3 linked regions of the Mytilus edulis genome follow. The protein of the gene in region 3 interacts with the protein of the main gene of each other region in a biochemical or structural test. Links are inferred from orthologs where the notes say so. Each region holds a gene or a part of one and is shown on either strand. Other genes may lie near its edges. The genes, in order: mitogen-activated protein kinase kinase kinase 4-like, mitogen-activated protein kinase kinase kinase 1-like and dual specificity mitogen-activated protein kinase kinase 4-like.

Region 1 (7,646 bases), on a different chromosome or scaffold from region 3:
TGTAACATTTCTACTAACCAGAGATAATCCACAAAATGCTGTTGCCACAGTTCTTGTTCAGAGCTTATTTGTCGACGATATGCTCCAAATTTATCTTTTCTGTTATGATCTTTCTCCTTCTTAGGTTGAGAGCCCATCTGAATAAGAGCAGAGAAGATTTTGTAGAAATCACTTCTGTCCTTTGGACAATCTGGACAGACTACAGATAATCTTCTGCTATCAGGCTTTGATGGACCCCAAGAACTGTTCAAGCTACTGGATAAGTTTAGCGAATTTGTCAAAGTTATTGTCAGAGGCGATGGTCGATTTATTAAGGAAGAAAACCTTCCCGACAAGTCAATCCTTGGAGGGTTGGTCGATGAAAATCTACCAGACGTTGTCAAAGAAACATCTGCTGTATTTGTATCTAGATTTGACAAGTCACCAGAAGTAGCCTTCAAATGTCTATCATAACTCCTTGAAGTTTTCAGAATTTTTTTCTTGGTGCTTCGATTATCTTTGTTCAACTTTTCTGAATCTTGTGAGAAATCCCTTTCAAGGTTGTCATCGGAATCAACTCCACTGAGTTTACAAAATACCGGATTGTCTGCATACTGATCTTTTATAATGTTGACTGGAGTTTTTGGCTGAGGTTTCTTTTTAGTAGCCATATACTCCTTGTATGACATTTTCCTTTGATTAGAGTGTTTTTTGCTTTTTTCAAGTTTTGCACCCCTTGGATTGGCGGGTGGTGTTGTGCCATACACCATATTGGAATACATATTGTCTGGTAGAGATTCAACAGAATTGAACTGATCTTCAAATTCTTCTTCACTAATGTCTGCATCATGACTTTGTTGGTGGAAAAATTTAGTTTCACTAAAAAATAAATACAACAGATCATTTATTATTGTACATTCATATACAGGTGTAAAAAAATGTATGTAAACAATTGTAGAAGTCCTAACATAATTCAAATATATTTAGTTATCAAACCTCACATCGTAAAAAGACATATTGAAAAAGTGCCAATAAAACAAGGACTTAATGGATGTGCTCAGAAATTTAAACTTTTTAAAGGTCATCATGTCATATAAACATGTCAACATCCCACCTAAGAATTGGTTTCGGTGTTATCCATTGTTTAGACTAAACATTGCTAAAAGCTCTCAAGAGCCCCTCACTCACCTGATTCTACTTCCATGACTTCATGTACATTGGTTTTGGAAATCATGTAAAAAATTATTGTCCATAAAATCCTGTATTAACTGTTGTCCCCCCTGGCAGCCATCTTTGATGATGGATCAACTGATGGATTAACCATTCAAGATCTTGTCCCCAGGATTTTTATGCCCCACCTACGATAGTAGAGGGGCATTATTTTTTCTGGTCTGTGGCTCGGTTCGTCCGTCCGTCTGTGGTTCAGTTCGTCCGTCCAGGTTAAAGTTTTTGGTCAAGGTAGTTTTTGATGAAGCTGAAGTCTAATCAACTTGAAACTTAGTATACTTGTTGCTTATTAAGTACATACAATGTGCATGTACTTTCATAAATTTGCTAAATGCTTGTGGATTACTCCTTTCATCTTTGAAACTACCATGTGTCAGATATTTTAATATGCTACATTTTTAGCTCATCAGATTTTCACACAGTCAACAGGAAAGTTTTACCCATATATGACACTGGAAATGATACGCTTTTGCGAATGTGAGAATGCAATCCACATCATTTTTTTATATCCTGTTTGCATTCTGTGATGAAATGAATGGGTTTATAACAAATTTTAAGTGAAAGATTACAAGTTAGATACATATACACTTGCAGCACTGTAACACTTAATTAATTTTAATGACATTTTATTGATATTTATCAGAAATTAAAACATGTATAAGTTTAATAACGAATATGTTTTGAACACATGTCCATTTCCGTATTGTGTTTTTATTAACTTTATATGACCTGACGATGAAATTAGCTACAATAAGTAATGTCAAGTCCAGTCAATATACACATGATATATGTTCCTGCTTTCACTCAGTTGGTAGTCAGACATCATCACGACCACCAATAGGAATTCCGTGGACTACCTGATTTTTGTTTTTCCAGTCCAACAGTTCCAGAAAAGACTGTAAGTGGCGACTGCATGAAGGTGTGAAATTCTCATCAACGTTTGGCCTTCTTTTACTTTAAGGGTCACTATATTCAGAGCTATGGTTTGTTCTTGGTTATTGTTAGGTTACAGAATGTTCTAGGTTAGAACTAAGGGTTAGGTTTTAGGGTTTAGAGCTAGTGTTAGGTTTAGGTATGGTGTAGGCATACCTGCCAACTTTTCAAAATGCCCATGGGGGTTTTGTTTGCAAGATGGCTCTCATAGTCCTACAAAACCTTTAATGGGGCCTTCAAATATATTTTAATGTTGTTTTTTTTGTCTTCTTTATACTTTTACAAGCCTATATAGCCATTGTAAAATTAATTGTTTTGTTTAAATTGTGGCCACAATTGCTCTTTTAAAATTATTATTTGAGAGCCTCCATGGGGGAAATACCCCGCAAATAGTGACAGTTGGCAGGTATGGGTAGGGTAAGGTTTGGAGTTAAGGATAGTTTAGTATACATTTGTAGCTCTATATGGGTTGGGACCCTCAAGTTTAAGAATAGACCATACGCAAAAAATCTTAAGAGCACTGTCAGATGTATATGTATTTTTTATGTCTGTTGCTATTGTTTGCGTTTAATTAACAAATTAAGTATACTTCATTGATAACAAAGTGGTTATATATTCATTGTGATAATGCATGTTTTGATTACGATTCCATTATGCCGTACATAGTATACGAGAATACGTAGTATTTCTGGCCCGTTTCTCAGTTCAGGAATGTGGTAAAACAGACGATTTAAGCATTCGAATTCATGAAAAATTCTCAAAGATGTGCAAAAATAAATATTCAAATGCTTCAACTATCATTATGAGAGGTTGCATACTAGCAATGCACTTACGTCTCGTCGTGCAAAGGGTTGTAATCCTCATTTGGCGATGCTGACCTGGGATACTTTGTCCCATCAGCCGCCATGACAGATTATCACGGAAAGTCACGCGTGATTTCTATTTTTAGCAACACAAGGGATTTACCCATTTGCTGTGTTTTTATGTAAACAATTTTTGGGGTTCATTCATCTATGCCAACATTTCAAAAATGAAATTTTGGCATTGGTTGAATACAAATTTAACAAAAACATAGATCGATTAGCGTTTTAGTGTTCCTAAACCTGTTTTTGATGCAATATTTATTAAAGTCTCACCATCAATGATTTACAAATCACCACAAGCACATAAATCTCAGAATTTTTTATCTCTTATTTTAAGGTATAAAAAAAAATAAAAAAATTCTGAGACAAGTGCTTGTGCAAGTCATCAAGTCCTTGGTCTCATGCATTTTTTTTTTTTACTTAATTGTAAACTATAGATTTATATAAAATAAAGAGCCATTTCATACCGAACTTAAAGAGAGGAATTGTCATCACAAAACATCATATTGTACATGTTGTATTCATGAAAATAAAGATGACTGTATATGTTTGTTCAATATTTATGAAAGTGAATTAGTCAGTGAAATAAAAATATCGCTGTTACGCTAGTTTGGTCCAATGTTGTCAAAATAAACAAAAAAAACATGGCTCAGTGATGATATATTCACTTGCAAGTGAATAATTCGAAATCATTGAATCCGTATTCACATAACAATTTAACCCTTTATCAGGCTAACAGATGCATGAATCAGTAGACGTGTTCAGTTTATAAAAAAGAAACAGGAAAGTGTAACATGAATAAACATGAATAAACATTTCGATTCACTGCATCGACAAACAAAAATTCATTATTATACATATAAAAAACGATGATTAACATATCTTTTACAAATTAAACAAACAGATCAAGAAAAATTCAATTTCTATCTATTTCTATTTAGATATTTATGTTTCTATCTGGTTATATGACCGTTAAATTGGCAGTCTTCTTATGCCATCTCGATGCTTGACAACATGGCGTCTGAACTAGAATACATGTATACGAAAATCTGATAAATATTAACCAGACCAATCATCGTAATATGTTTATTTAATTTTAGACTTTTTAAAACTTGGACATACGGGTATGTTATTAATCAAATATGATAATTTGACTCAAATCGTTGAACATGAATTTGACAGCTAATGCCCCTTTCACGTGTTTCTTTTTATTCGGAATCAAGATGATAAAATCAAGTATTTTTGTTAATTTATCCATGTTATCAGAGGAATAATTATCCGTTTATAACAAAAAAATAACAGTCCCAAAAAAGATTGTGATGAATATAGAACAACATAAGATGAAAATATGTAATGATAACTTTAATTTATCTATTTGACCCAGCTAATATTAAGTGTTCTAAAGTAATATTAATTCTTGTCAATTTTTTAGTTATCATATTTACTGTAGCAAGCATGGTATTGTTTTTTTGTTCTTCAATATCAGTAATTTGTAATGCTTGAAAGTACTGACTGTATTTTCCTGTGATTTTTTACTGACTGCTTTTTCAGTATTCTTCGTCATTTTAGCTTCATCTATAGTTATCCTGTTTAATGCTATTTTCTGTACTATAAGTGCAGTATCAGAAGTACTATATTGTTATGATATCCTGTCTGGTCTATATCCTTTTCGACTGCCTTGTCTTATATTTACTGTTTCCTTTTTTATTATTGGTGTTGTTTTGTACACCCCGTTTAGTTATATATTTTATTTATTTATTGTGTACAGTATCGTTTCTCATAACGACCCAGTGCCTATCTATATATGTACATTGGAACAACGGACGCCGGACTGATACAAGTTGTTATAGTCGTCAACAGCTATATTTAGATCTTTAGTAAGATTTCCAATAAGAAAACTATCCACCAGAGACCAGATGACGTGGATGTGATATATAAGCAAGTGTAGGTCAATGAACGACCTTCAACAACGTGCAGAACATATTCCGTATCAGTAACTATGATAATTATTCAGCTAAAACATTGCATTTGATGTTTAAGGGGAGAAAGATAAATTCATAACTTTTAAAGAGCTTAAATTTTTAATTATTTTTTTATTAGCATATTATTTAAGATTTTATATCAATTCTACTTTTTTGTTCTTTTAAAGGAGACGTGACACAATTTTTTTTTTTTTTTTTTTTTTGATTAATTAATAAATATTGGTAAAAAAATATATTGTAATAAATTTTTCTTGTCAAAACATCATTTAACGGCCTTTAAATGGTCAAAGAATCCAGCGCTTGTCGTAATCTTTGATTTTTAATGAGATACCGGTCACGTGATCGTGATGACGTCAGTGGATACAAGCCGAGAAAATGTCTCAATGAGGACGAAGTCGATCATATTTCTGCATCATTAAACAATGGACAGTGTTAGCATCAGTTTTCAAGGCAACTCTCTAACTTTAGATATTCGACCGTATCATTTTGAGCCGTTACTTGTAGAAAAAAATTAAGTAGAAGATATAAATTCGTCATCCGACATTGACGATCTTTCAAGCAATGTCGATATAATATAAAAATACTATATCAATAATTAATTTCACCAAAAATAAAGATACATTTCTTAAAATGTTTGAGTGAAATTTAATTACATTTAATAAGAGAAAAGGATAGGTTATAAAGAATGTAGGACAGAAAGTCACAGGACAAAAAGTCACGGACAAATCGTCACAGTACAAAAAGTCACAATTTATTTTCGAAATTATTTTTCTAATAACAAGGAAAAATTAATTTAGAAAAATACAAAATTTTTGATTTATTATATATGAAGTAACTCTTTGTTACTGAAAATTATTCAATAGATATCAATAATCAAATAATTGTTATAAAAATAACATGTCTAAGTGGCTTGATATCTATAAATGGCTTCATATTGGCGTCAGATATATCCTTTGCATGATAAAATTTTTATTTTTTTTCATCAATCAAGCTTCATGAAAAATTTCTTAAACAAGCAAATGAATAAAAATAATAGAATAACTATCACCTTACCAAGTATGACGGGTGTAAAATTTGAATCACTAAAGCTGTCACCAATAAATGTGTTATAAGTATGACATAACAGTGGGTTTCGGGGGGGGGGGGGGAGGGGGGGTATGAAAAGAAATATTTTAAGAAGTTGTAAAACAGTAAAATAAATCCATATGTCTCTTCTCCTCCATAATAATCCCATTGAAAATGTTCTATGAGTACTGTCTTTTTTTTTAATATTTTTTCTGTGTGGTATATCTTCAGTCTTTAAATTGTTTTGTATTTTGTGACTTCTATCTAACTTCGACAAAGTCTGGCATAGGGGCCGTATAATATGAAAAATGAAAGCTTACAGTATTGACGGAAACTTATTGAATTGGTTTCAGGACTATCTTCACGACAGAAAACAGAGAGCAGTAATGCATAACGGAAATTTGAAAAAAACACGATAAACGATTATATAAAATTGAAACGTTTCATTTGTACGGCCCAATAACGCAATTGAGATGTTCCCATTCATTTATATTATAAATGATCCTTCTTGTCATTGTGGGTCAGATATTGAGGATGTCTACCATTACTTCTTTGTTTGTCCAAAATACACATCATGCAGAAAAACCTTATTCAATAATCTTAACTGGCTATCTGAAAGCATTGTGAAAAAAATGTTGATCTAAGAAGTATTTGTTTTGTAGTTTTAATTTTTTTTTAATTTTGAAAAGTGCGTATGCATTTAATGAGCATGAGGTAAAAGTGTCTCATATGTCTTGTTAGGCAGGAATCTAATATATTTTTATGCTGATTTTATCTTATGTATAATATATTGTGTATAATGTTAGATTGTGACACTGTAATAAACTTCTTACTTTAAAACTACCAGGGACTTTCTATGTTAGTATAGAAATTCCCTGTTACTATACTACTAAATGAAAAGTCACTGATAAAAGCGACAAGCACTGCGTGAATATTTAAAAAAAATATATATGTATTACATGTTAAAGAACAATCCAATTATAATATTGCAATGAACATAATAAAAAATTGTAAGTGTGCATTAAAGTAAAATCTAATACACAGTTGTATTAGGATGAGATTTTCCTTCAAAACTGTCGAAAATGTTGACTGACGCATGGATTTACCCTGTATGTCATGATTAAGACCAGGGGCGGATCCAGCCATTTTAAAAAAGGGGGGGGGGGTTCCTAACCCAGGACAAAGGGGGGTTCCAATTACATGTCCCCATTCAAATGCATTGATCGTCAAAAAAAAAGGGGGGGTTCCAACCCCCGGAACCCCCCCTCTGGATCCGCGCCTGAAGACGATGATTGGGTTACATGTTTAAACAAACAAGATGTTTGGTGAGCTATTGCAAATTGATGACATCCGTTTTTTTTTAGCTCACCTGGCCCAAACGGCCAAGTGAGCTTTTCCCATCACTTTGCGTCCGGCGTTCGTCGTCCGTCGTCCGCCGTCGTTAACTTTTACAAAAATCTTCTCCTCTGAAACTACTGGGCCAAATTAAACCAAACTTGGCCATAATCATCATTGGGGTATCTAGTTTTAAAAATGCGTCCGGTGACGCGGCCAACTATCCAAGATGGCCGCCATGGCTAAAAATAGAACAAAGGGG
Region 2 (6,924 bases), on a different chromosome or scaffold from region 3:
TCTGACTAAGTTTATATAGGTATGTTTACAATTTCAGGTGGTGTTGCTATGTAGACTAATTTCTAGAGGATAATTTTATCAGATCAGAGGCGGATTTAAAGGTTTTTTTGGGGGGCCTGCCCCCCTCCTCCACTTTTTCTGGGAAAAATTTGGTTGATTATATAGGGAATCAATGAAGCATGACTAGAGCGACCCCCCTCTTAAGCAGTCAGTTGGCCCCCACTTAATAAATTTTCTGGATCCCCCACTGCAGATCCAAATTAAAGATTCTTACAGCCTCTGTAGATGTTATAGTTTCATTGTCTCAAATGTTGTTGGCTTGGCAGTGGTAGATGTTTCATAACAAATTTACTCTAAGAAATAATTGAAAGACAGGCATGTTAGTTTTGCACAGATCAAAATGAAAGTTAATAGACCACTTTAGAAAAAGTTTTTAGTGTATGTGTGCCTTTATGACTTTTATCTAAAATAAAGCAGTTCTGTATGTTTTCCCTAACAACAGCTAGCAGTGCTGATTATTAATCATAAGAATTTAGTTTGCCGATAAATTCCTGCAATATAGCATAAAAAAAAATCATATTTTTCAACTGCCCAATATCGGAAGGAAGTGACAATGCACCTAAACGCACAAATGATGTTCTTTACCTCTTTTTTTTTTTTACCTTTTAGGGTCTTTTTAAGAAAGTAAGTCCTTATGAAGATATATTTAACCTAGCGTTTCCATATTAATCTCACCTTCAGGTACATGTGCACCAATCTTACTCCTAATTACCCAGTATATAATTGCTATTTTCTTATTGGCCATGTACCACTTGGGACATGTAATAAAAGTCGTTTTAGACATATTATAGTTGTATATATACTTTCATTTATATACCTTTTATAACTTTAAAAATAATTGTATTGCACTTTTATAGTAATGGTGTAAAAAAAATTCGTTTGTTGCTGTGTTACAAAAATGTTTTCCATTCATTATTTTGTACTTAAATAAGGCTGTTAGTTTTCTCGTTTGAATTGTTTTACATTTGTAATTTAGGGGCCTTGCATAGCTGACTATGTAGAATGGGATTTGCTCATTGTTGAAGGCTGTACGGTGAAGTCTAGTTGTTTATTTCTGTGTCATTTGGTCTATTGTGGCGAGTTGTCTTGTTGGCAAATATACCACATCAAATCTTCTTTTTAAATGTAGATGAAATTTTTAAAAAATGATTTATTTTATGGTTTTTAACCATAATAAACATTTTATCCATTTTAAGGTTATATTTATATAAAAAAAAAAGGAGACCGAAAATCTATATGGTCACATGTACAATAGAATAAGAGATATTTTATGATGTCGGTACCAGTATTTAGATGACTTCCACATGATCTTTACAAATGTGGACAGTCTTGTTTAGAAATGATTTAATGGAATAACAAGTTGATTGGTTTATTATGACACACACACATTTGTCAATCACTTAGACATTACTTTTATCACTGAGCTAATCATGTAATATAACTGTGGTGGAATCAATCATCTAAATAATATATTTATTTTAAAAAAAATATTCTTTTCAATTCCAAGACAGCTTTATCATAAAATTTTGAAGCAAAACATCAACATTTTTTTTCAAAGCATTTTTTTATGGATCATTTGGCAAAACAGATGTGGAGGTATATATTTTCAATACTTAAAAATATAAGAAAATTTAATCTTTGCCTGTCTGTACTGACTGGACATTTTCTAAGTCTAATCATCATGATCATATACATTTTGTAGATGAAGATTGTGTGTATATATATATAGAAATATTTATTAAAGTCATATGAAACGAGTGACCAATGAAAAATAATGTTTATCCAATTCTTGAACCAATGCATGTATATTCATAAACGTAGTCTTCTGTGCACGATTTTATCTTTTTTTACTCAACCATATTATCGCATAATCGTCATTTTTTTTTTCTCTCTGTCTGTTATGAAGTGAAAATATGGCAGCTACTTAAATGTCGTGTTTTGAAGCTGAAGTTTGCCAATTGTCACCTTATTGTAAACAATAAAAAAAGCATCGATATTTAGCACGTGTATAACATGTACAATCAGATAATAGTTTATTTTAATGACAGATCCATGCATATTGCGATCACCGGATTTTTACGAGAAGGGTCACGCTGAGGTCATATTGTATACGGAAAATATGTGGGCGAATTGCTTCCTGGAAGCAAGGAATTAAAATAAAGTAAACTTCTTCTAAATATGGACAGATTAAAGAATTTTCTTCAGAAAAAAATATATGTACATAAGTTTTATAATGAAAACTATCCATTTAGTTATAAAAAACATATTCATCATTTTTTTTAATTTGAGGTATCATATGACTTTAAAACATCTTATTTTTTTTCTCCAAAACTTTAATAAGAACTGATAACAAAAAGGCATAATTGACTGGAATCGGGTCTGTTCGCCCTGATTACATGTTTGCCCTTGGTCCGGTCGCCCTGAGTTCGTTCGCCCATAGAGTCTGTTCGCCCTGCATACTTTTATTTCAAAATATTAATTTTAAGCCTTTAAGGGCATAAAGTTTACTAAAACTTATTCAGATATTTGTATGGTATAAATTCTCGACATTCATGAAAAAACATGGAAATATTTAAAAGTTGATGGCTTATTTGGGAGCATTAATTGTTCAATGATATAATAATAATTCTCACTGCTTGTTTAATGTCTTTCAAACTTATCTTTGTTGGATAAATAATAAAAATAACGTTTTGTTTTGATAAATTTGTCAGCTTGAAATGACTGTAAAGCAGTCATTTATGAATTGTAAAACATAGAAAGAATTTACAAGTTCATTTATTCCTATATTATACTGCATAAATTGACTTGATAGAATTATTTAAACTGTAACAGTTATAACACATATCAATAAAGATAAATACATTGTATTCAAGTATTCTACTACATTTGTATGCAAATAAAACGGAAACTGATTATTTGGTTGCAGTAATACAAATATTGAGCGAATTTGTCATCAATATTTATCATACTCTGTACAAATAATGAACATTATGCAAGTAGACAATAATAATAAAATAAAAAAATCAGGGCAAATGGACCCTGGGCGAACAGGTATCAGGGCGAATAGGTACCAGGGCGAACGTGAATCAGGGCAGACGGACCCTGATTCTAATGGACTGTAATGACCAAGGCCAAGTGGTGATAGGCCAAAACAACACATGGACTTTAACATATCTGAAGCCCCAAACATCATGAACATCACACATAAATTTGCTTCATGAAAAAATTCTTCTTCTTTATACATGTATTTACGGAATGCCATCAACTTTTTGGGAATTACTTTCCGGTATTACTGAAGCAACAGCCCTGGTATCCAGACAATTTGCTGTTAAATGATCATGCAATTCTCTCAAGTCTACACTAGTCACTCATGAGCCATAAGTCTATAAGTGCAAAATTATATCCTATTTATTTTTTTAGGGGAGGTCACTGATTTTAATTAATTTTAGAGGGGAAAATTCTGACTGCAATTATTTGTCTGCAGTGATATGATATCATATATATTTTATAGGATGATCCTCGGGTGTTAAAGGGTCTTGCACATTGACATTTAATGTTACCCTACCATTTAACAATGTGCTTGACGTTGTCAACAACAACTACCAAGTTGATCGTTTTCTCCTTTTCGTAATCAATTATTATGTAGCATGAAAAGGGAAATAACTAGCCAAGCACCTGTCCTCCTTTCGAAATTTCTAGACTGATCCTTTCTTCAGAAGCTAATTTTCGAAAATTCCGAGAATTTACATAGATCAGGCAGACGTTTTTACATACGTGATGATTCACCTGCTATTGAGCTTGTAAGAGACATCATTGTAAATAAAATTGGAAATGAACTAAGAAAGTTGGTTTGTAAACAAAATGAGGTGGTAAAAACAAGGGTATTCCTACCGGAAATAGCTGTGCTAGATAAATAATAAACCGCATACCAAAATAAGATAACATTTTGAATTGAATGCCATCGAAATGTAACTACAGAAACGTTTGCAAATACATCTTTTGTTGTATTTGGCGCTTGTTTATTTATAATTTGTCTGCATGTCGTCAATAATTTAGTTAGAATTACAATGAAATGAATGGTGAAAGCAGTCTTTGAGCTTTATGTGACATGATACTCCGTGAAATATGGAATCAGCTACATTAGCAAATGATGACGCTGAAACAAGTAAGCAGTCACAGACAAATGGTTTTTTCTTCGAGGATACAGATTTTAAACCAAATTGTATAGATTCTGAGGAATATCTTGGACCTCATGATTGGAGAAAGATTCTGAGACCAATCGAAGATGGAAATTTAAAGTCACAATCAGCAAGGTTATAATTGTATTTTATAAAAGTAATATTTAAATATGACTGCACAGATGTATAATGTAGTTTTACCAACATTTTCATGTTTCAATGGGCTGTCTCAAACTATAAAAAAGTTTTAAAGCTTGACTTATAGATGAATATTAGTATACAGAAATCATAAGCTACATGTATATTTGTAGCAGTCAGATGTTACATGTCTGTTTAAAACAACTGCACAAGCTCTTCAGATAAGTTGCATCCAATGGGGATTGCACTTCAATTGTTTGACAAATTAAATAATCATAAGCAACACAATATTTATTCTTTATCGCTCAACCAAGTGTAAATGTCAAGTTTTGATGAGGTGACTTCATTTTCCAATAAAAACCCTTGCATGGCTGGTTTGTAGTTTTCTTGTATGCAGGAAAGCTTTGTTAGGGATAAAATAATGATTAGAAACTCAAATAAAAAAATTCATTTCTAGATTTAAGTCAAGATACAAATGTATGCAGCAGACTTAGTTGTATTATTTGTATCTTACAAAAATGTAGCTACACCATCCTTTATTACAGGGTCAATTGGATAGATGCAATCAACAAACTTTGGTTTATCAATGAATATTAACAGAAATACATGTATATCTATATGCATTTAGCGAACATGAAGTTAAAGGTCAATAACTAGCTTTGTTAAATTCTTCTGGAACAGTCACTGAATTAAGTTTACCCAAAATGAATTAAGGAACACATGAGAAGTATTGAATCTTTTTTAAAACATACCATTTTCAATGTTAATTTAGAAATCAAGCATTTCTTATTGCTTATAATCAAACATGTACATGTAATGCATATTTACACGTGTAGATCATGAAAAAACTGCTATTTTTTAACATACATTTGTAATTGAATTAAATAACATGCAGCACACTTTTTTTTCTAAACATACATGTACATGTGTATATGTATCATGTACATTCCAATTAACAGCAATTTATATACATGAATATGTTTGCTCATCTACATCTACATGTAATTGGTTTTTATTTTGATGTTAAAGGCTAGTTCTGTTTTTTTCTTTCTATTGAAGTAGAAAGCAGACATATCTGTAAAATGCAAGATTCAGATTATATAACTGATTAAAATGGTTACGTCTCAAAATTATTGACAGAAGTCATTTTATATTCTTTTAATTGTTCTGAATATATTTACCACTTGAGTTGAATTTCACGAAAAATAAAATTAATGGATTTTTTTTTTTATCATTCAATATACAATTGTATATAATATGAATAAGGTGCATAATGCATGTATATTATGCATATAATTGCAGATTTCAAGAAAGGAATGACGCAATTCTGTAGTTGAGGAAAATACAATTTTTAGCATATTTGAGTGTGACAATGTTGAATTGTTATAGAAAACAAAACAGGCCCCACATGCACCATGTTACAGAATTTACATCATTTTCCCAAAATCTTTTATATCCATTCCAAACCTTGGAATAGATCATCCTCTTGGCTGTCTTAGTATCTTTGATTTTTACTGACAGTTTTATTTGTTATGTCTAGATGTGAAAGCAATGAAGACCAGAGGATAGCTACAAACTTAAGTGTGACAGAGTCAGAAAACAAGTATAGCTTTGAGTGTTTATGTTGTAGCACCCCAATACTCCTTCAGTCATCATATAATTACTTCACCATTTAACACATTGATTTTATAGAGACATGAATGTTCTTTTGAGTTGTAGAAATACATACAGTACCTATATAGATATGGAATTGATTTTTGAATCACATTTATAATGCAATGAATTGTAAATATAGTTGGTAAATGGCCATCACTTTTTTGCACATGTCATTTATTTGTACTACCTCCCTGCATGTTCACGACATTGTATAAAATTCATGACTGTCATTTTCTTTTAAAACCATATAAGTAAGTGTCAACTATCCAGATACTGAATGAAACTCTGAATATATTCTTCTTAAGTTTTGAAATTTCCCATGGAGTCTCGCAGGGAAGTCAAAAGTTCATCTTTGGCAATGTTTGGAGAACCAATTTCCCAATTTTGTTTTATATGATTTAGTGTCCATAAGCAACCTGATACTTATATCCAAATAGTCTATTATTAATTGTAATCATTTAGATAATGATCATAAGAATATTTGAAAAAAAGTATTTTCAATTTTTCTGAGAAAAGAAAAAAAAACTATGTAAAATATTTACAATGACAAATTTCCCATTAAATAGTTCTGGAGGTTTGAAAAGTTGACAGCCACTTGTATGTGAAAGAAAGTCTGTCAATAAATTATATTATATCTTCACATTTTTGTTAAAACAATTATCTGGTTTTCAGATTCATGTCATTCAAAATTCAGATATAATTAGGTTCTTATTTATTTCCTGTTTAAAAGTTCAATTTTGTACAGACCCTCTTGTTTCAATGACTGGGTATCTAAGATATTCAAAAGGGTAAACGACTTTCATCTCTTCACTGTGTTTCATTTGTATAGATACAAATCTTAGAACAATACTTGAAAATGGTCTTTAACTAAATAGATATCCACCTTTAATTT
Region 3 (7,286 bases):
AGTAGAAAAATAAAGCATTTTAATCTTTAATATCATAGCACTACTTGTAACAACAATCATAAACTTAAGTCAATACAAAAAGGGATTTCTGGAATAACCAAAATTTGTAGACAGCAGTGTTCTCCCCAAGGCCTTTTAGCATCATGGTAATGTGATGCTATCTGAAATGGTTTTCTTATAGATAGTGTTATGGATGTGATGCTATAATTTCTAGAAACAAGATGGTATTTCAATTTCCCCTGTTAACCAGGATGCTAAATAAAATATCTGGGGAGAACACTGGACAGCACAATATTTTCTAACTGAAATACACATAGAAGGACAAATTTACATTCTGAAAACCTATATTTCTTTAAAACTTCTGATGAAACCTTGAACAAGGTTTTCAGATCCTGTTTTGTTGAATCAGTTCAATTGTTGTGTCTTAAAAATCGTAAAAAACTGAGAAAGCAAATTTAATCAGATCACAATATTGGGATTTCAGGACCGATTTTGAACATCAAAACAAATGAAATTTGAAATTAGTTAACAGCATCTGCTTCTAGGTCCTTCTAGTTCCATTATCATGATAATATATTATGATAATGCTTGATTCAGTTACTACTACACTTTGTGACCATAGATAAATGTTTTTTATTTGAATTAACAATACAAACGTATAACAGTTTGTCAGCAGATAACACAAAACACAGACAATTAAACACCATTATTTGTAACATTTGACCCCTTCATTATCAAATAAAAAGGATAGGAAACCGAAATGTTTCAAAAATAGCAGTTATGAAAAGCAAATGAATACAAAATCTTTCTTTTAAACACTTTTGACGACAAATCCCTGTTTACTGGAATTAACACTTCTGACAGCTGACCACGAGTTTATGGATCGGAATATCTCCTTTATATTTGCCATTGAAAACATTTCAAACACAAGTTATCTTTCTTTGTTGAATGCCTGGATGAAAGTGTAAACATGACACCTCCGTTTGTTGAAAACCGTGTCAAAATCAAATGAAATTTACGGATTTAACTAGAATTTGAAATATCGGAATATTTTATTTTAAAAGAGTTTGGAAGAATTGAAGCCAGGCTAATATATATACCTTTTGGACATAAAATGCTGATTTATGTATAAAAACAGTTGGAATGGACATGTACATCGTTCAGTGAAAGGAATTTGTATAGTCTTGTTATTTACAAACTTTTGCCTCTTTGGTTTAACAATTTACGAATTTGGTTGAACAGTGGGATTGCCTGAAATGCGCCTTTTTAACGTCTAAAATTAGTGAATTTGATTTTTGGAGACAAAAAATTATCAACATGACCAAAACATTAGCAACAAGAATGTGTCCTCAGTACACGAATGCCCCACTCGCACTATCATTTTTTATGTTCAGTGGACCGTGAAATTGGGGTAAAATCTCTAATTTGCATTAAAATTAGAAAGATCATATCATAGGGAACAGGTGTACCAAGTTTGAAGTCGATTGGACTTCAACTTCATCAAAAACTACCTCGACCAAAAACTTTAACCTGAAGCGGGACAGACGGACGAACGGACAAACGAACGGACGCACAGACCAGAAAACATAATGCCCCTCTACTATCGTAGGTGAGGCATAAAAATGTGTCCATGGTGTTAAAGAATAAAATAAAAACGTAAACTTCAGACAAGTTTTTATTGCTATTAAATATGAAGATTTGCCACTTGTGTCACAATAGCCAGGGAAGCAGTCACAAACATTATTGACCAAACGATTTTCTTTAACATTTTATGTGCCAGTTCCATGCAAGGAGCCTGTGAGCCAGGGGTTTGTGTTGGTTGCTGTCTGTCATAATTGATGACCTATAAAACAGGCAGTTGATTTTCTCATTTGAATTGTTTCATATTTTGTCAATCAGATGTATTTTATAGCTGATAATAAAGTATTAGATTTGCTCATTATCAAACGAGGGACATGACTTTCCTTCAGCCATTAGTGGATAATTGTCTATTAGGCAAATCATACTCCTTCTTTACTTTCACAATTGTGTTTTCATCAGAAATCGTAAGACCTACGTTATATGATTTGGTTTAAAGTTTGCATGTCAAAATGCCCTCGTAATGGATACAAATTCAGGTCAATCTTTTAACTGAACTTGAAGAGGATATATATGTTCACGACGTGTAAGAGAAGGGTGGTGGCTGAATTTTGAGTCAAAATTTCATGCCACATCATTTGAATGCCTTTAACAGAAGTGTTTACTTTCGCCTTCGAAAGTTTATTCCAATGCTGTTTTTTAACTGATTAAATGGTAAAATCAATATACTTGACTTTTGAAAGCAATTTTAACATATTGTCACATGTACTGAGAGAGATTTTGCTTAATTGGAAACCCTCTGACACTTTCTTTATACAAAATCTAGAAAATTCACAATTTTAAGATTTTCTACATAGTAGTTATAGGTCAAATTCTCATAACATTTCATTTTCTAAAAATCTTCTTTACATGAGGAAGAAATTAAATATCTATTTTTTTATAATTTATCATGGCTTTACTTAACAGGTAAACAAACATGAGCATGTTATTGATCAAGGTGTCAGAGGTGTCACTCCACAACAAACTACATTATTTAAATCAGAAATGTATTGCGTTATTGTGTTGACATTAAGAGAGTTTGTCGATAATTACTCTTTATTGAAATGTCATTTACTCTGTGAATGATTAAACAGTAAAAACATACACTTATGTATGACTCATACATCCTAAAATAAAACCAACATGGATTTCCACAAGTACGCTACCTTGGTTGTCATTCGGCTTTTTTGGATTCGGATTTTCTGGGTCCGCCATTTTGAAAAACGGCTAATATTTTGATGGTTGTATTTGCCAGTATGGTAGTTGTGTTTTTCATGAAACCAATTCCTGGTGATCTTAAAAACACAGTAAAACAGGTAGCAGATATCGTGGGCTTAGAGGAAATGTGATTGGGTAGCGATGTTCATTTCTCTGCGATGACTCATCTACTCGTAGTCTTCTTGGGAAAATCCCTGTGACGTCAAAGTCTTGACGAGAACTGCCGAACAGCGGGCACCTGCTACAATCGCACGTTTTCGGTATTTTCCGTTAATCCACAAGAGTTACCTCTCGTAGGCTATCAATTAAATCGAAGGATGGAAAATTAATTCCTTTTTAGGCCTGGTAATAACGACAATATGCAAATGGTCCTATAGCTTGTGACATGTTTTTTTGTTAATTTTGTATTTATGATCATTTTACTTATTATGATTTCTTCCTTCATAAAGTTTGATATAATTGGCAAAATTGTAATTAAGATTAGTACAAAAATCCCTGAAAAAGCTTCCAAATGGCCTTTGGCATTGCCGCATATTGTAGATCTTATATTTCTGATTTATTTTCAATTTGAAACAATTGACAGAATTGACCATCCATTATAGTTTCCGGATATAGAATTAAAAAAAAAACACGAGAATTCAACAAACGTTTTAAGAGCAAAACATCCTTATATAGTCATCCATTGGGTTTGGTCATATTTTTTAACTTTGTACTTATCCGGTGACCATTTTAGTTGTTTACAATTTCTTACTATCTAGTACAGTGTCCGAGACCACAGGCGCTTGGGTATATGATACAGAGTTTTTTTTTTGTTTTTTTTTTTTGTTGATTAAAATATTAAATTTTCTTTATCTATAATACATATCTATCACTTTCGTGCATGTCTCAGCTAGTTTCGAGTGATTAAAACGACTCAGAGAAAATACCCAATTTGCTTCTTATATGGATAGTAAAATTGGGTATTTTCTCTTGAATATTTTACTCAACATTTTTTTTTATCTGTTTCATATACCCAAGCACCTGTGTCCGAGACAACAGTTACTGACCATAAACGAAAACTATACTCAAGTCTTCATTTAAAAAACATCACTCCTCGTCTTTGCAGTTTACAGTTTTTATCTATTATTGTTTTCGACCTAATTTTAAAAGAAACATTAAAATTAGACAAACATCGTCATTTTCGGGCACTAACATTTTTTTAATTGGCAGTTTTGGAGTGGGGCTGATAATTTGTTTCTAATTGCAGTTTCTAACTATCTGTTATAGTTTTTATACACCCGTCGTCTTTTAGACGGGACGTATTATGGTATACCGTTGTCCGTCCGTCCGTCCCGCGTCGTCCACACTTCGGACAATAACTCAAAAACACTTTCACCAATTTCCATGAAACTTAAGTAATTGTTTATATCTATTGATGTAAGCTCCCTTTCGGTTTTTTTTTAATTTCAGATTTTAAGTTTTGGATTTATGGGGCTTCATTCATAAAAAAGGGGGGATTTTCAACACTTCGGACAATAACTCAAAAAGGCTTTCACCAATGTCCATGAAACTTAAGTAAATTGTTTATATCTATTGACGTAAGCTCCCTTTCGGTTTTTTTTTAATTTCAGATTTTAAGTTTTGGATTTATGGGGCTTTATTCATAAAAAAAGGGGGATTTTCAACACTTCGGACAATAACTCAAAAAGGCTTTCACCAATGTCCATGAAACTTTGGTAAATTGTTTATATCTATTAATGTAAGCTCCCTTTCAATTTTTATCAATTTCAGATTTTAAGTTTTGGAAATAACTCAAAAAGGCTTTCACCAATTTCCATGAAACTTAAGTGAATTGTTTATATCTATTGATGTAAGCTCCCTTTCGTTTTTTTTTTAATTTCAGATTTTAAGTTTTGGATTTATGGGGCTTTATTCATAAAAAAGGGGGATATTCAACACTTCGGACAATAACTCAAAAAGGCTTTCACCACTGTCCATGAAACTTAAGTGAATTGTTTATATCTATTGACGTAAGCTCCCTTTCGTTTTTTTTTTTTATTTCAGATTTTAAGTTTTAGCTTTATGGGGCTTTATTCATAAAAAAGGGGGATTTTCAACACTTCGGACAATAACTCAAAAAGGCTTTCACCAATGTCCATGAAACTTTGTTGAATTGTTAATATCTATTGATGTAAGCTCCCTTTCAATTTTTATAAATTTCAGATTTTAAGTTTTGGATTTATGGGGCTTTATTCATAAAAAAGGGGGGATTTTCAACACTTCGGACAATAACTCAAAAAGGCTTTCACCAATGTCCATGAAACTTAAGTAAATTGTTTATATCTATTGATGTAAGCTCCCTTTCGTTTTTTTTTAATTTCAGATTTTAAGTTTTGGATTTATGGGGCTTTATTAATAAAAAAGGGTGGATTTTCAACACTTCGGACAATAACTCAAAAAGGCTTTCACCAATGTCCATGAAACTTAAGTAAATTGTTTATATCTATTGACGTAAGCTCCCTTTCGTTTTTTTTTAATTTCAGATTTTAAGTTTTGGATTTATGGGGCTTTATTCATAAAAAAGGGGGGATTTTCAACACTTCGGACAATAACTCAAAAAGGCTTTCACCAATGGCCATGAAACTTTAGTGAATTGTTTATATCTATTAATGTAAGCTCCCTTTCAATTTTTATCAATTTCAGATTTTAAGTTTTGGATTTATGGGGCTTTATTCATAAAAAAAAGGGGGATTTTCAACACTTCGGACAATAACTCAAAAAGGCTTTCACCACTGTCCATGAACCTTAAGTGACTTGTTTATATCTATTGACGTAAGCTCCCTTTCGTTTTTTTTTAATTTCAGATTTTAAGTTTTGGATTTATGGGGCTTTATTAATAAAAAAGGGTGGATTTTCAACACTTCGGACAATAACTCAAAAAGGCTTTCACCAATGTCCATGAAACTTAAGTAAATTGTTTATATCTATTGACGTAAGCTCCCTTTCGTTTTTTTTTAATTTCAGATTTTAAGTTTTGGATTTATGGGGCTTTATTCATAAAAAAAAGGGGGATTTTCAACACTTCGGACAATAACTCAAAAAGGCTTTCACCAATGGCCATGAAACTTTAGTGAATTGTTTATATCTATTAATGTAAGCTCCCTTTCAATTTTTATCAATTTCAGATTTTAAGTTTTGGATTTATGGGGCTTTATTCATAAAAAAAAGGGGGATTTTCAACACTTCGGACAATAACTCAAAAAGGCTTTCACCACTGTCCATGAACCTTAAGTGACTTGTTTATATCTATTGACGTAAGCTCCCTTTCGTTTTTTTTTTAAATTTCAGATTTTAAGTTTTGGATTTATGGGGCTTTATTCATAAAAAAAAGGGGGATTTTCAACACTTCGGACAATAACTCAAAAAGGCTTTCACCACTGTCCATGAACCTTAAGTGACTTGTTTATATCTATTGACGTAAGCTCCCTTTCGTTTTTTTTTAAATTTCAGATTTTAAGTTTTGGATTTATGGGGCTTTATTCATAAAAAAAGGGGGATTTTCAACACTTCGGACAATAACTCAAAAAGGCTTTCACCAATGTCCATGAAACTTAAGTAAATTGTTTATATCTATTGACGTAAGCTCCCTTTCGTTTTTTTTTAATTTCAGATTTTAAGTTTTGGATTTATGGGGCTTTATTCATAAAAAAAGGGGGGATTTTCAACACTTCGGACAATAACTCAAAAAGGCTTTCACCAATGTCCATGAAACTTTGGTGAATTGTTTATATCTATTAATGTAAGCTCCCTTTCAATTTTTATAAATTTCAGATTTTTAGTTTTGGATTTATGGGGCTTTATTCATAAAAAAAGGGGGGATTTTCAACACTTCGGACAATAACTCAAAAAGGCTTTCACCAATGTCCATGAAACTTAAGTAATTGTTTATATCTATTGATGTAAGCTCCCTTTCGTTTTTTTTTTAATTTCAGATTTTAAGTTTTGGATTTATGGGGCTTTATTCATAAAAAAGGGTGGATTTTCAACACTTCGGACAATAACTCAAAAAGGCTTTCACCAATGTCCATGAAACTTAAGTAAATTGTTTATATCTATTGACGTAAGCTCCCTTTCGGTTTTTTTTAATTTCAGATTTTAAGTTTTGGATTTATGGGGCTTTATTCATAAAAAAAGGGGGATTTTCAACACTTCGGACAATAACTCAAAAAGGCTTTCACCAATGTCCATGAAACTTTGGTGAATTGTTTATATCTATTAATGTAAGCTCCCTTTCAATTTTTATCAATTTCAGATTTTAAGTTTTGGATTTATGGGGCTTTATTCATAAAAAAGGGGGATTTTCAACACTTCGGACAATAACTCAAAAAGGCTTTCACCACTGTCCATGAAACTAAGTGAATTGTTTATATCTATTGACGTAAGCTCCCTTTCGTTTTTTTTTTTTAATTTCA

The links.
Region 1: the proteins of dual specificity mitogen-activated protein kinase kinase 4-like (region 3) and mitogen-activated protein kinase kinase kinase 4-like form a complex in vitro, tested with the Homo sapiens proteins (2 studies listed by BioGRID, with this or other methods). The link is inferred for Mytilus edulis from reciprocal best matches to the Homo sapiens genes MAP2K4 and MAP3K4.
Region 2: of the proteins of dual specificity mitogen-activated protein kinase kinase 4-like (region 3) and mitogen-activated protein kinase kinase kinase 1-like, one has a biochemical effect on the other in vitro, tested with the Homo sapiens proteins (7 studies listed by BioGRID and IntAct, with this or other methods). The link is inferred for Mytilus edulis from reciprocal best matches to the Homo sapiens genes MAP2K4 and MAP3K1.

The regions. Positions count from the first base shown.
Region 1 is NC_092353.1:29,922,529-29,930,174, forward strand, and holds the start of mitogen-activated protein kinase kinase kinase 4-like, read right to left. Parts: upstream 3,071-7,646; 5' UTR 3,047-3,070; coding exon 2,973-3,046; intron 859-2,972; coding exon 19-858; intron 1-18. UniProt on the Homo sapiens protein: Component of a protein kinase signal transduction cascade. Activates the CSBP2, P38 and JNK MAPK pathways, but not the ERK pathway. Specifically phosphorylates and activates MAP2K4 and MAP2K6.
Region 2 is NC_092344.1:5,536,331-5,543,254, reverse strand, and holds the start of mitogen-activated protein kinase kinase kinase 1-like, read left to right. Parts: upstream 1-3,834; 5' UTR 3,835-4,185; coding exon 4,186-4,373; intron 4,374-5,916; coding exon 5,917-5,979; intron 5,980-6,924. UniProt on the Homo sapiens protein: Component of a protein kinase signal transduction cascade. Activates the ERK and JNK kinase pathways by phosphorylation of MAP2K1 and MAP2K4. May phosphorylate the MAPK8/JNK1 kinase.
Region 3 is NC_092352.1:46,581,217-46,588,502, reverse strand, and holds the start of dual specificity mitogen-activated protein kinase kinase 4-like, read right to left. Parts: upstream 3,058-7,286; 5' UTR 2,833-3,057; coding exon 2,784-2,832; intron 1-2,783. UniProt on the Homo sapiens protein: Dual specificity protein kinase which acts as an essential component of the MAP kinase signal transduction pathway. Essential component of the stress-activated protein kinase/c-Jun N-terminal kinase (SAP/JNK) signaling pathway.